3 linked regions of the Danio rerio genome follow. The protein of the gene in region 2 binds, or shares a complex with, the protein of the main gene of each other region. Links are inferred from orthologs where the notes say so. Each region holds a gene or a part of one and is shown on either strand. Other genes may lie near its edges.

Region 1 (5,125 bases), about 430 kb from region 2:
AAAGCATGGACATAAATTCAGCCTTAGAATTGTAAATGTGTTTATTTTATTAAAAATATAATTAAAATGAATGGACCTGAATTTAGCTGATTTATTGTCAAATTAAATTTAACAAAAGGACATTCAGGCTCGTTATCTTTTGTAATCAGTTAATCAGGAAAACAAATGCACTTCTCTGAAGTTAAAGCTTTACGACGATGCTACAAACTCTTTCAGAAGGACTGCTTGCATGCAGGCACACAAAACCTTTTTTGGCTTACAATGGAAATTTTTTAATATTCCTCCATCAATTACATTCTCCCTGGGCTGGCGCATGCAGCTTTAGACAAATTTATCATGAGGTAGTCAAGATGGCAAGATAAAGAGTGATTTAATTATTATTATTTGGTCATATTAATAAGCTATCACTGATGTCATTTAAAATTCACTTTGCTCTATTTCGCCTGCAGGAACAGACTGACTCACATCTAAAATGTTTTTAAAACAGAAAAAAACATCATCCAGACATCTAAAAAATAGATTGTGACTATTGCTTACAGTGATGATGTTAGTTTATATCCGGATACGAGCTTTAGAAAGGAATGCATAAGTGAAAGAGAAAGTGAACAAGAGAAATGATGAGGTGCAGGGTCAACATATATTACGCACTTATTTGTTTGCACCACAGGCTATACATTATCTAAATAGACTATATAATATAAAGGAAACTTGCTTGTGCACAATTTTAGTCAATAATAAAATGTATCTTAATGATTGTGTTATGTAGGGGTAGACAAGGGGGTTCACTATAAAGACACATTTAATATGTGCTGGGCGTCCTCCAAAAAGATAAGCAGCTCAGCATCCGTCTGCTCTGCCCTAATAGTGGCAGTGAAATAGTGATATAGTTTTTTTGGTTGTTCAAATGAGATCACCAGACATTTTTATTTATTTATTTATTTATTTCCAAATAGGTCTAGGGATCGTGCTTGCATCACCATTTACAACAAAGGGTAATGTGTGTTTAATTTGGAATGCTCAGAGGTTGATTGTCTGGTGAGAAAGTAGTCTTTTACTAATGTTCAGATTTATGAGTGTTTAAGGCCCAGGTAAACTTTGTTTTCAGTTTTCTGCTCCATCTCATGCACAGTTTAGTGAGCAACGCTTTCAAAATTAATTGACTGTGAATGTGGAAGCACATTAAATCACTGGCCCCTCAATGCACTAGACTGCAAGAACAAAAAAAAAATCAGGCTGCACACAGATGGTGTTCACAGACATCAGCCGACTGTGCTAATGACAAAAGTTTGACCACCTTCAAATGTGACTGATATAAATGAATTTTGACATGTATTAAGGAGGATCAATGTCAAACAGAAACACATGTTAATAACCAAGGTGTAGATGGGCAGGGAGCAGAGGGAGTGCATCCATCCAAAAACTTCAGAGCTTAATTGCAGTAAAAGTGTGTCTAGATTGAAAAAGCTGTCATACTGGTGAGTGTATGTGTGTGTGAGAGAACGAGAGATCAGAGATCGCTGGCAGGCGGGCCTGTTTGAGAGGCCCCAGAGCCACAGTGCCTTATATGGTGCAGAGAAGTGTGTGTTTCTCTTTCAGTTTCCTGCCAGCATCATAGACCCGACCAACCAATCCTGATTAGATAACAACCCTCTCTAACACGCATACATGCACAGGCTTCCAAGGAAATTCATGATAAGGAGACCTGCAAATAGAGTGCATGGAGAAAAGCTTTAGGCTTTCAAAGTAGAGAAACTACTTTAGGCTTATTGAACAAATCATTGTAGATCCTGATGTTTCAGCCAGTCCAATAATGAGCTTTGACCGTGAAATTCTGTGCATCTGCTGACGGTCTGATGGGAAACTTTGTGCTGGCTACTTTGATGTAGGTGAGATTTTACAGGCAGACTATTTCACTGATTTAATTCCCCTTGAGGGGATTTTATCTCTGATCAATCTTGCTGCACCAATGCTGGAATGTTGTGAGAGGTAGCCAAGAAGTTGATTTGCATTTGTCAAATGTTGTTAGTGGCTGTTTGTGCATTGCAATGCGATTGCTAAGGTGTTTTGGCTTATACTCCGGTGTTCTCAACAATCCTCACGAGTTCTTTGCAGAATGACTGAATGTTTAATTAAAATAAAACCAAAATCGCAATGAGGCTTAGTGAGTATATCAAAAGGCTGTGAATTTATGTATGAGCGTGTTTGAGTAAACCACGGCTCTTCAGTAAAAGGAAAACATTTAAGCATGTCATAAATATTTTACAGCCATAAACAAGTCGCTAAGATATTTTTATAGCCTTGACATTTTTTGTTATAAAACTTTCAAGTCAAATTGCAGTTGTAATTCTTATAATAGTTACTTTTTTCCCCCCAATATTGTCCCACCCTAAATCCTTCATGACCTGGATCAAACAGTTTCAGTACCCGATTAACAGCTAAATACTTGGTAGAGCCAATATGGCCATAACAAACACTACTAATTAGGTTTCACACAGCGAGAAGTCCTGCATTGTCCATCGCTCCTCCTCGTGTGCCAAGGGTGCTGGATTCTGTCCACTCATCTCTTAAACAAACGCAGTGTTGTGGTTGTGATTTGTAACGGGATAGCTGGAGACTTTCAGCAGGACTGTTAAGTATACAAAGCTCTTACCTCCTGGCCGCACATGTGTGTAGCCCAGCTCTCTCTCCGATACAAGCTTCCCTTTGAACCGCACCTCCACTTCCTCCTCCAGTCGCTCATGCTTCAGCCTGCGCCAACTGAACAGCCCCCGCAGCATCTCCTTTTTTTTCTGAGGTTTGAATCCTCAGCAGATTGAAGCTTTGGTCTATTTGAAGTCGGTCACAAGTTCACAGTCTCCTCAGTGCTCATGTGGATTCAGCTCCATTCAGTAAAACTCGCAGCAAATGCTCCTGCACTCTGTCTGACTCAATGTGTGGTTCAGGTCTCTGTTTTTCTTTTCTTTTTTGTGTGTGTATTTTGCCAAGTTAAACTTCAAAAGCGCTTCCAAAATCCTCTCATCCTTCTCTTCGTTCTTCTCCTTGTTCTCCTCTCCTTGCTCTCTCTCTTTCTCTGAGTTGTGTTCCTCAGTTCCCAGGCAGTATTTTGTTTGGGTTTTTTCCCCAGGCGCTGACCCGTGTGGTGCTCTCCGCTCAGAGAATGAACGGTTGTGAATATAGCACCAGCCCTCTTTCTCTCTCTCTTCCTCTCCCTCTCTTTTACTGCCTTGGATTTTGTTATCTCTTCTAGAGGTGAATGGAACAGGTCCTGATTCGGCTGTCAGCACCAGTCTCTAAGTTTAGTTCATGAGAGACCACAGTCACTGAAACTTCTCTTAGTTGTTCCCAATACAGTTGTTCTTCAAAAAGGCAACAGAATGTTGATGCGAGCATCTGGCAACTACATTTTGGTGGTTAACGACATTTTGGTGGATTGGCAGAGCACTTGGCTCCAGTTCTACTTGGGCACATGGGAGTTTGGACTGTCTGGGAAAGGAATGTCAGCTAGAGTGGAGTGTGTATGTATGATGGCAGTTTAAGTGCATGTATGGACTTCTTCTACTGACAATTCTGATACGGTGCTTAACAATTATAGTCTTCTGCTCTTGATTGATTTTAATTAAATGAGTGACTGAGGTTAATATTATCATGTATGTGTATTTTTTTTTGGCAGTGTCCATCTATGGAATCTGGTTCTATGATAAAGAGGACTGTCAGCGTATAGCAGAACTCATGAAGAAGTATGTGTATCTTTCATCTGCAAACTTGCACAACATGGTCACACACTTAATGGGGTATTTGCATTTCAGGTCTTTACATTACAAATTCGCCACATTTAAGATCTGATTTCTTTCAAAATCAGTGATCTTCACAGTCTGGTAGATATACAATATGAAGTGGATCTCAGACCGGACAAGAAGCATTGCGTTAAATTCCATTTACCCCACCACGTCTTTAAAATGTGAAATTTTATTTTACCACAGTATTTTTAATGGAGTTTCTGCGCTAGCCTGAAGCTCCTGGAGGCTTTTATCTCATTTTACACTTGAACAACTAAATGAATGATTAAGTCTGTTTAACTGATTGTATTTGAATTACATTACAACATTGATGCTGTAAAAAGAACATTAATGAAATTGAAAATAGCCACGTAAAGCTTTCACTGGTAGCTTATCAATGGCTAAAAATACTAGCTGTGCATGTAGTCCATTCTATTATCATATAATTTCCATTTAGGCCACATTCACAATGGAACTAAATTTAGTTGTCTATACCTTCTTTATTGCCTAAATATGTTTTGTAAACAGTTTAGAAATGTACAGCTGTGTTACAAGTAACGCAAGTTACGTAATATTATATAAGTAACGAAAAAAAGTAATACATTACTTAAAAAAATTAAGTAATAATAATGGAGTTACTGTTTTCTAATGCAAGTTACTTTTTAACTTATTTAATCACCTTTTAATAAATGTAATTGCTGAATTAAAATTAACTTAGTCACATTGAATTAATGAGAGACTGTGCTCCCGTAGGAACAGAGAGAAACGAAGATGGCTGTCATACATTTTTGTGATGGAAGTATTTTCATTATTTTGAACACATTGAAGAAAAGAAAAAAGGGAATTGTCTTGATGGGCAGTGATTTTACTTAACTAAAGTAAACAAAAAACAAAAGTATTTAACAAAAAGTACCAAACCACACATTTTTGTTTACTTAACTAAAGTAAACAAAAAACAAAAGTATTTAACAAAAAGTACCATACACATTGCTTTAAACGTCAATAAAGTGTGTATATACGGCATGTATAGCTCTTGGGTCAGGAAGTTCTCAGAAAATAACATCATGCTAAATTATTTAAATTTTAAATTATTTAATTTTTTTTGTTTTAGGTAAATGAATGTATGGGTTAAACAGTGCATTGTTAATTACAGAGCTCCTTTATTAAAAAAAACAGCCAGCAAAAAAAAAAGTAATGACAGAAGTAATGTTATGCATTACTTAAAAAGTAATTAAATAACGCAACTTGTTACTTTTTGGGGGGACTAACTCGATATTGAAATGCATTACTTTAAAAGTAACTTTCCCCAACACTAGTGGCAACTGATTTTAACAAACCAAATTAAATTT
Region 2 (5,191 bases):
TTACCAAGAGAGTTTTAAAGGGCACCTATGATGAAACTCCTCTTTTGAAAGCTGTTTGGACTGAACTGTGTGTATAGTGTGTCCACAGGAGTCATATAAAGACAATAAGTCTCTTTTTTTTTATTTGCTCACGTTAAAATAGGATGCAAATACTTCCCATTTTGTGGCTCACCACAACGTGACGTAGGAGTACGGTTTCCCCGCCCACCAAATTGACAGCTGAGTATTAACATGTCTCCGTAATAACACGACAACAAGATTGGATGTGCGCAAAGCAACTAAGAGTAAATCTGTTCAGCTCACTGTGATCATCAATTATCATCAAATGTGATCAAGAATGACTTTTACAAGTTTAAAACGTTTTTAAAACAGTGGATGTTTGTAATGAATTATAGCAATTTTACCGTCTTTATCACTACAGCTGCATGTCACTACAATTATGAAAGACGACCCTTTAATCCTGGTCTGTGGACGCTTAATCAGGTTTATTTTGTACATCAACATTACGGTTATCAATACAGCAGTGGATATTAATGTATATCCTGTCACATTTGCCGTGTAAAAACTTGAAACTTTAATCAAAGTTAAGCATTTGCGTGCTGTGTTTGTGTGTCTGTGTATGTGCGCAAACTTTGTAACAACATTGTGTGTGACTCATTGTTGCAGAAAGGCTTGAATTTACTCCACAACAAATACATTAAATAAATAATCAATGGGAAAGTTCTTACTGTAGTATTCCTCACAAATGTAACGTGAGATCTGCTTCCTTCGTGTCTGTCACTGTGCTGTTTATCTGATGCAGCAGGAGACTGAGGCCCCGTTTACACTAGTGCGTTTTAGTTTGAAAACAGCGTTTTAGATCAAAAACGATCCGCGTCCACACTCGCGTTTCACCTAGCGTTTCTGAACATATCTCCGTCCACACTACGCCACCAAAAACGTATATCACGTGACCATTCGCGCACTCTGGGCATGTGCATTCTAGCGAATATATGCCGCTGCTGTGGTAAAAAAGGCAGAGTTTAACTGCACAATGGCGCCTAAAACAGACAATAGTGCAAACAACGCATTTCTGTGTCCATGTTGTTGTTTACAGTGAAGGCTGGTCTGTTGTCTTCCGATATAGCGTTAAAGCCATGTGTTACAGTCATGTGATAGGGGCTTGACGAATAAGGGAAAGATTCACAATGACACAAAAGCCCCAATCAGCTAGCAAATCTCGGCAGCCCCGCCTCCATTTTCAGATGTCTCTGTTTTCCTTCATCCACACTGAGACGGAGCAGCAGCGTTTTAGAGTGGAAACAGGCTCTACAGTGTTTCCAAAACGCTGCATTTTGTAGTGTGGACGGATGCCGTAACCATAGCAAAACTTATGCGTTTTCAAACTAAAACGCATTAGTGTAAACGGGGCCTGAGGCACACTGTGACAGGCATGTGGCAACGGTGGGCAGGGAGATCTAGCATTAAAGGCACGGGCAACAAAAACAGCTACAAATTGTGTTCAGAGCAGAAAATTACAATATACTGAAAGCTATAATGAATAATCTGATGGGTGTTTGGAACTGAAACTTTACAGACACATTCTGGAGACACAAAAGACAACAAATCTTGAAGATTTGAGTCAAGTAGAGTCAAGATTTTGAGTTAAATAGGTGCCTTTTGATAACGATATGAGTGATATAAATCACTTTTGGGATATTTCTGTGGTGATTTCATGTTCTATTTTAAGACTTGACATTTTGAAACTTAGTAAATACTGCATAGTAAAAAAGAAAGCCCTTCTGTGGGGCTTAAATTTCTTTTTTCGTCCAGAAGAACACAAAAAACATGGAGCAACATTATTTATTTTTGGATTAAATATCTCATTAAAGGGATCTTTCAGCCAAAATAAAAAGGTGCTGTTAATTTACTCGCCATAAGGTCATCCAAGATCTTTTTTTTTCTTCAGTAGAACATTAAACAAGGTTTTTAATTAAAAATGTAATCCTAAGTGATCCATAAAATGCCAGTCAACAGCTACAGCCACTTAGAAAGTAAAAAAATACATATATGGGCGAAATAAAATTAATACCTGAGCTCCTGATGATACAATGAGATGTTTAAAATTCTGTGCATGAAAATAAACATTATTTTATAAATGAAAATGAAATAAAAGTGAACATGAACATTGTTACTTTCAATCCATAGCCTCCAGAGAATGTGAGCATATAATGATTACATACGACTTTTACAGTATATAGGTTCCAGCAACCAGTATAAGCATAAGTAAGCTATGCACACGTACATAATGTTTTTGAATAAAATGTCTTAAATAATGTGTTAATAAAGAGTTGATTAAACATGATTTTTGCAAACATTCTAAACTAGACCTAAAAGACATATTACAAATGTCTATTTGACATCAGACAGAAGACGTCTAGCAAATAACTTACTTTAAATATTACGTCTCTCCGTTTTAAATGCACACATCAAATGGACTTCTCCACTATGCAAGTATACTATCAGGAAATCCAGACTGTCGTAAAACACACCGGGGACCATTTGTCGATGTAATGTGGTAAATAATGTCAGTTACCTCCACACACTGGTAATTTTTCTTCATTCAAGACTTAAATGTATTGTCAGGTGTCACAGTTTGGCCTATTAATTTTGTTATGCCTCTAGGCTATGTTTTTCCCCCACAGTGTATAAATAAATAACGACGGCAGTTTCAGGTAAAATCTCCTTCCAACTGAAGAAAAAGGAAGTCACATACATCTTACATGGTCTGCGAGTGAGTACATTATCCACATATTTTCATTTTTGGGTGAACTGTCCCTTTAATTTCTCATGGCATCGTAAAAACCAAACTCAACGGACGTGCGTCTCACGCATGTGTGACTACAAACTATAAAAAGCTGAGCAGAATGAACGCGAAACGCAACTTGTGGTTGGAGTATCACCAGCCTGACTCTATTAGTATACAACAAAAACTTAAAGTATTACGCTTTTACGGCCAACTCTTTGAGAGTAACAACTAGTAATCATAGCAATAACAAGTTTTGTTCCGTCTACTTACAGAAATGAGTCGGGAAACTGTATAGCGCTTCCAAAGCTGCATAAAGACAGAAGTAGAAGAAGAGCGGTCGACAATCTGAGCGCATCCATCATTCTTCTGACTGACATCCAACACGCGAGTTTTTCCCCACTAAAATCCACTCAAGTGACCCTCCGAGAACAGTCAAGCTGCCGCCATGAGCGCCGCTACTTCCACAAACAAATCACGGATGCGTTCGGTCCCTCCAGCTACTTCTGCCTTTGCCCTGTTGAATTAGTTTGGAGGGTGTCGGGGGAGTCCGGTGTGGGGCGTTTCCGTGCGTCTCTCTCCGGTTTGACTGTACGGTAAAGAGTCAGTTTTTAGACTGTGCGCTGTGGCGGATCGGTTTCCACACGCCCCCCACCCATCTGTGCGCGATCAGCATCACGCGTGTCGCTCCATACAAGGAGACCGAGACGCGCTGCGAGCCATCAACGACTGAGTGACAGGAAAGTAGATAGATAGATAGATAGATAGATAGATAGATAGATAGATAGATAGATAGACAGATAGATAGATAGATAGATAGATAGATAGATAGATAGATAGATAGATAGATAGATAGATAGATAGATAGATAGATAGATAGATAGATAGATAGATAGATAGATAGATAGATTTTTTGTATTTGTCAGAGAGTGAATAGTAGGTGTTTACTGTTTATGAATTCTGTAGATAAATATATTTTGCAAATACTGTAAATAAGTTTTAACAGTGAGTTTCTACTAAATTAAACATTAAAACAATTATAAAAGGCAGTTAAAAAATTCTTCTCTTATGAAAATGAAACAATACAATTATATTATTATTATTATTATTATTATTATTATTATTATTATTATTATTATTGAAAGTCTTATAATAATAACCTAACAGTAATAATCATAATTTAATAATAATAATATTAATAACTATTTTATTAACTAAAAGTTTTCCCTTCCTGCAACACACATCTTTCGCCATTTACAAATTAGAAATGATGTACATCATGCAATAGCCAATTTTTAATCTTTGCCAGAGGAAAAAAGCGTCTATAAGCTATTATAATAGGCTCACTTGATTCCAAACATTTGGTTTCAGATTTTGTACTTTTATTTTTCAAGAGCTGAGTAACTGCAGCTTTTTAGAAAAATTCTTGATAATAGGAACTGGGCATAAAGATCGAGGGTGACACATGGGAGGAAAGCCTCAGCCGGATTGGATATAGACTTTAATTAATTACATTTAAAATGCATAGACTGCATTACTCAAAATCTCAAATTACACTGAATTTTTCCAACCATTTCTCCATCATGTGAAGTCTGCTGAAGGCCCTCTGACCCACTTCTTTCAGACATGTCCAAAATATTGCAATTTCTGGTGTGACATCTTTAAATGGTTTCTGATTTGTCTTGTTGTGCCTTTACACCTGACACAGAAATAGCACTATTTTGGTATTCTTCTTTTTCTGCTGTTTTATAACATGTCCATATCAAAATCATAATACAGTACAGTTGAAGTCAAAATTATTAGCCCCCCCTGAATTATTAGCCCCACTGTTTATTTTTTTTCCTCAATTTCTGTTTAATGGAGAGCAGATTTTTTTCAACACATTTCTAATCATAATAGTTTTAATAACTCATTACTAATAACAGATATATTTTATCTTTGCCATGATGATAGTAAATAATATTTGAGTAGATATTTATCTAGACACATCTAAACAGATTAAAGTGACGTTTAAAGACTCAACTAGTTTAATTAGGTTAACTAGGCAGAATAGGGTAATTAGGCAAGTTATTGTATAATGTCGGTTTGTTCTGTAGACTATCAAAAAATAATAACGCTTAAAAGGGCTATTCATTTTGACCTTAAAATTGTTTTTAAAAAATTAAAAATGGTTTTTATTCTAGCCGAAATAAAACAAATAAGACTTTCTCCAGAAGAAAAAATATTATCAGACATACTATGAAAATTTCCAGAATCTGTTTAACATCATTTAGGAAATAAAAAAAAAAAAAGTCAAAGGAGGCTAATAATTCTGCCGTATTTCAACCGTACATGGAAGGATCATTGCTAAGAGTATCATTCTAAAGCTGTGGAAATCAGATTCTATGCCTCAATTTAAGACATGGT
Region 3 (4,452 bases), on a different chromosome or scaffold from region 2:
AAATAAGACTACATGATGTATGTGAAATGGGTTTCGATAAACAAGTTTTCTGAGCTAGGTTCTAATGAAGGCAACTACCACCTCCCATCATTCCCTGCTGGAAAAATAACTAGTAAGTCAGGCTGGTTCTGGAAACTGGTTAAAGCATCCTCACTAAATTAAAAAGTGATACAGGTTAACTTTAGGCACACCAGTTAATCAACTATCTAAAATTTGACAACATTTAAAGCATATATAATATGTACTAATTCTAAGTATAAAAATACTTAAAAAATTTAATAAATATATATATATATATATATAAAATGTATGTCATTAAACTGAATATATATATATATATATATATATATATATATATATATATATATATATATATATATATATATATATATATATATATATATATATATATACACACTCACTCAGTGCATTCGGAAAGTATTCATAGCGTTTCACTTTTTCCACTTTTTTTTTTTTTTTTGTTACAGTCTTATTCCAAAACAGATTAATTTCATTTATTTCCTCAAAATTCTACACACAACCAAAATAGTTGCAAATTTATTAAATATAAAAAAAAATCACATGTACATAAATATTTACAACCTTTGCTCAATACTTTGTTGATGCACCTTTGGCAGCAATTACAGCGTCAAGTCTTTTTGCATATGATGCCACAAGCTTGACACAGCCTCTCAAGCTCTATCAGTTTGGATGGGAAGCGACGGTGTACAGCCATTTTCGGATCTCTCCAGAGATGTTCAATAGGATTTAGATCTGGTTTTAGATCTGGATTTAGATCTGATGGGCCACTCAAGGACATTCACCGAGTTGTTGTGAAGCCACTCCATTGATATTTTTGTGGTGTGTTTTGGGTCATTGTCCTGCTGGAAAATGAAACGTCGCCCCAGTCTAAGGTCAAGAGCACTCCGAAGCAGGTTTTCATTCAGGATGTCTTTGTACATTGCTGCATTCCTCTTTCCCTCTATCCTGACTATTCTTCTAGCTCCTGCATCTGAAAAACATCCCCACAGCATGATGCTGCCACCACCATGCTTTACTGTAGGGATGGTATTAGCCTGGTAATAATCTGTACAGTATCTGGTTTTCTCCAAGCGTAACGCCTGGCATTCACTCCAAAGAGTACAATTTTAGTCTCATCAGACCAGAGAACTTTGTTTCTTATGGTCTGAGAGTCCTTCAGATGCATTTTGGCAAATTCCAGGTGGTACAGAACGTACCTGAGCTCAATTTAGAGCTTCACGGCAAAGGCTGTGAATACTTATGTATATGTGATTTTTCAGATATTTTATTTGTAATAAATTTGCAACAGTTTCAAAAAACTTTTTTTACATTGTCATTATGGGGTATTGTGTGTAGAATTTTGAGGAAGTCAATTAATTTAATCCATTTTGGAATAAGGCTGTAAAATAAAAAAATTTTTAAGTTAAAACTTTCTGGATGCACTGTTTATACTGAAACATATAAACATATAAATATAGCAAAAATAATAATAATGTATCATTGACAGTGTGTGTAACTGATATTGATGTAGCCTTCTGTGTATAATTCATTATTAAAATTATATTTAATTATTTTATTATATTTAATTGTTATATTTTCATAAATAACCTTTTTATAATCACTGCAACATAAACACACCAGAAGTTGGTTTAAGGGAACATTTCCAGTAAAAATTGCCATCACAGTCCCACCAAATGAAAAACAACAGCTTTCTACCCACTGCTTCCATTCCCACTTTGGAACCAATGCCCACAATGATGCTAATCACAGTGTAGGATTAGAGAAAGCAGCTAGTTATCAGCGCAAGTCTAAGCTAACACAGGCAGTACCTGTGGCTCTACCGCCAGGCGAGGCATGGAAGAGGCTCGGATAGAGACGCCTCTTCCTGGCACTTGCAGTGGATCAGCCTGCATGCTAGTGGGGCACATCACACTGCTAAATTCTTTGTGCTCAGGCACCTACGCAGTTAGAGAGAGGAGAAAAACGGGGAGGAGGAAAGACATTCAGTCCTTACTTAAAAATACACTTACTATAACAGAATCAAGTGTATTATGTATAGAATTATTGTTATAGAATTGAATTGCAGCAAGGTTTACAGCCTAAAGTAAAAAAATCTCCTTTTTTATTACTTTATTACTCAATAAGAATCCATAGAGGAAAAGTAAAGTGGCAAAAGGACACGTCGTAAGCAAAAACACGTAGCCAATACGCATGAGCAACTGATAGGGGGTGTAGAGCGTTTCAAAGCAGAAGCCACAGATACTGGGCGTAAACACAAGCGCTCTTGCACAACAGAGATTCAAACATAAACCAACTTAAAAACCCTAGCGTTATATCACAGCTCATAAGAAAAAAGCAGAAAAAAGCTACCAGGAGAGATAGAAAATAAGAGCATAAGACACATAAGAGCACAGGAAGACATCTAGGCTTGTGTGTAACTGCTTACTGGTTATATAATCTTGACCTAGAAGTCTAACCTTGAAAAACCACATCAATAAACCCTTCCAAACCTCTAAAAGAAAGAAAGAAAGAACACAAGTCTCTAAAAGCACTACCGTTACGAGGCCAGAAAACAAATAATAAAGAGATGGCAAAAAAGCTGCAAATGTGGGGAAGTCTGGAAAGGTAGAAGCATCATGCAAGGTGGAAACCAGGGAGGTGATGTTCATGCAGATGACCTTCTGATAATTAAGCTTTCAACACAATCACATGGCACATTTATGACATTCATAGAAGACCATTTTTGCCACACAAAAATAGAGATGAAATATAATTACAAATATTAGGTCCAAAATTTTAAGATGAAAAGTTATGGTTTGACTTTTGAGAATATGATTATTTTAAAACTTAAAAGGTCAAAATTAAACTGTAAAATACGGATGTCGTAAGAGGCCATGCTTAAAAATATTTTTTTTCTCGTTTTGTTTTGATCTTGACATAACAAAAAGTTGTTATGTCGTGATTACGACTTATCTTTTTGCTTTAATTTATGTAGCATTTATTTATGTATTTATTATTATTATTATTATTATTATAATAATAATAATTATTATTATTATTAATAATAATAATAATATCTGGCCAATGTATGACCACACAACCTATTTTTTTCTGCCTGGATGCCCTAGGCATGCTTAACGTTGAAGCCGTGGGAACGGGGGGCTAAGTTAAGTGTGCAATACATAGGCTTGTACGGAAGTGTTAAATCATTTTTATAAGAATCAGTTTAGTTCAGCTGGACATGTTATGCTACAGATATGTGGGAAGCACCGCGCGTCTGTTACAAGCATCTCTGAGCTGCAGGAGTGACGAGAATGATACGATATGACGGATCCAAACTCGCAGGAAAAGGATTGTTTTCTAACTACTTCATTTAAAATAACATAGTTGGTCTGTATGGATGTCAATTTCAACAAAGTCCTGTGATCGATCTTGATTTAAATTAACGATCAATTACAGATTAATCGTTATGACCACTCCATCAAAAACACAATAGATACTTCCCATGGCAATGTGCATACAGTAGCTTCATATCGCATTATTTGCAGGAACTCACTTTTTAAAGTCATTGTAAATAACTTGTGGAAATGAAAAAAGCAAAAGCAGGATCTTCAGCATTCTTCATAATTTAATTCATAAATGCAGCAAGTTATTTGGCGCCATATTAAGTTGCTTTAACAGTTTAACAGTTGAGAGGATTTTATTGTAAATTATGATATAAAATTTTAGAAAATAGGAATAATTTTTTTATTATTTTTGTCTCTTTTTCTTTTAATCAAACAATTATTTGTATTGGTCATGTAAGGGTCATATATTAACAACTTCTACTGTTGTGTGTGGGATGCTGTGCATACTATTTAGCATTTTTGCAGAAGTAGATAAATGCTGGTGCAAAATTAAATTCATGTAAATTCATATGGACTGGACAATGATTGACAAATGACGAATTTGACGAAACTCCACATGTTAATATCAGCTGCCTATATAAGTTGGAGTCAGGAAAAGAAAGTGGTTGTGCGCCTCCTCAATGTAACTTTTGCATTGCATTGAGGATAACAGAATTCTTTGAATCAAATTATTAATTTGTATCCAATAAATTGTTAAGATTTTGAACATTGAAGAAAAACCTCTCCTGACCTTTTTTTTGAACACGCATGGAATTGATTGAAAATTACAACAATAATCATATACATGAATATAATCATGAACGTAGATTAATTATGAGCATGAGCGTTTTGAGCTCATATTAGTATAGCTTTTCTGAAAGTTAGTGTTGCAAGAATGCATGTCTGCAGTTAGGCAGACTCACTGCTCTAGTCTTAACACTCGTGCTGCCCCTTCATTATAAGCAATCATTAAGTTACATGAGGAATATTCTGTTTTAAAGGCCAGAGAGTACATGTAAAGAATATCGGTGGCCTGGTTATATTA

The links.
Region 1: the proteins of cacna2d1a (region 2) and cacna1c are in contact, whole or in part, in a cryo-EM structure (PDB 8WEA), measured with the Homo sapiens proteins. The link is inferred for Danio rerio from reciprocal best matches to the Homo sapiens genes CACNA2D1 and CACNA1C. Residues at the interface, in NP_001353796.1 of Homo sapiens: Thr170, Asp171, Tyr173, Ile233, Leu235, Gly262, Ser263, Ser265, Lys270, Thr274, Ala327, Lys328, Gly329, Ile330, Glu366, Gln391, His392, Tyr394, Ile416, Gly417; in NP_955630.3 of Homo sapiens: Phe147, Pro148, Glu149, Asp150, Asp151, Ser152, Asn153, Ala154, Asn678, Lys1090, Gly1091, Asn1092, Tyr1093, Ile1094, Tyr1096, Gly1099, Val1101, Pro1104, Ile1106, Arg1109, Tyr1156.
Region 3: the proteins of cacna2d1a (region 2) and cacna1ea are in contact, whole or in part, in a cryo-EM structure (PDB 8EPM), measured with the Homo sapiens proteins. The link is inferred for Danio rerio from reciprocal best matches to the Homo sapiens genes CACNA2D1 and CACNA1E. Residues at the interface, in NP_001353796.1 of Homo sapiens: Thr170, Asp171, Tyr173, Ile233, Leu235, Ser261, Gly262, Ser263, Ser265, Gly266, Leu267, Lys270, Ala327, Lys328, Gly329, Ile330, Thr331, Glu366, Gln391, Asn393, Tyr394, Ile416, Gly417; in NP_001192222.1 of Homo sapiens: Gln110, Leu112, Pro113, Glu114, Asp115, Asp116, Lys117, Pro119, Arg122, Asn630, Phe631, Asn632, Asp633, Gly634, Ile1330, Gly1331, Asn1332, Val1334, His1336, Met1341, Val1343, Arg1346, Arg1393, Ser1394.

What each region holds. Positions count from the first base shown.
Region 1 is NC_133179.1:20,902,066-20,907,190, reverse strand, and holds the start of cacna1c (voltage-dependent L-type calcium channel subunit alpha-1C), read right to left. Parts: upstream 3,170-5,125; 5' UTR 2,778-3,169; coding exon 2,651-2,777; intron 1,887-2,650; exon of another isoform or gene 1,638-1,886; intron 1-1,637. Other genes in the region: dcp1b (mRNA-decapping enzyme 1B), read left to right, coding at 3,671-3,737. UniProt on the Homo sapiens protein: Pore-forming, alpha-1C subunit of the voltage-gated calcium channel that gives rise to L-type calcium currents. Mediates influx of calcium ions into the cytoplasm, and thereby triggers calcium release from the sarcoplasm.
Region 2 is NC_133179.1:20,474,585-20,479,775, forward strand, and holds the start of cacna2d1a (voltage-dependent calcium channel subunit alpha-2/delta-1a precursor), read right to left. Parts: upstream 3,261-5,191; 5' UTR 3,166-3,260; coding exon 3,059-3,165; intron 1-3,058. UniProt on the Homo sapiens protein: The alpha-2/delta subunit of voltage-dependent calcium channels regulates calcium current density and activation/inactivation kinetics of the calcium channel. Plays an important role in excitation-contraction coupling.
Region 3 is NC_133183.1:16,585,614-16,590,065, reverse strand, and holds part of cacna1ea (voltage-dependent R-type calcium channel subunit alpha-1E), read right to left. Parts: intron 1,980-4,452; coding exon 1,851-1,979; intron 1-1,850. UniProt on the Homo sapiens protein: Voltage-sensitive calcium channels (VSCC) mediate the entry of calcium ions into excitable cells.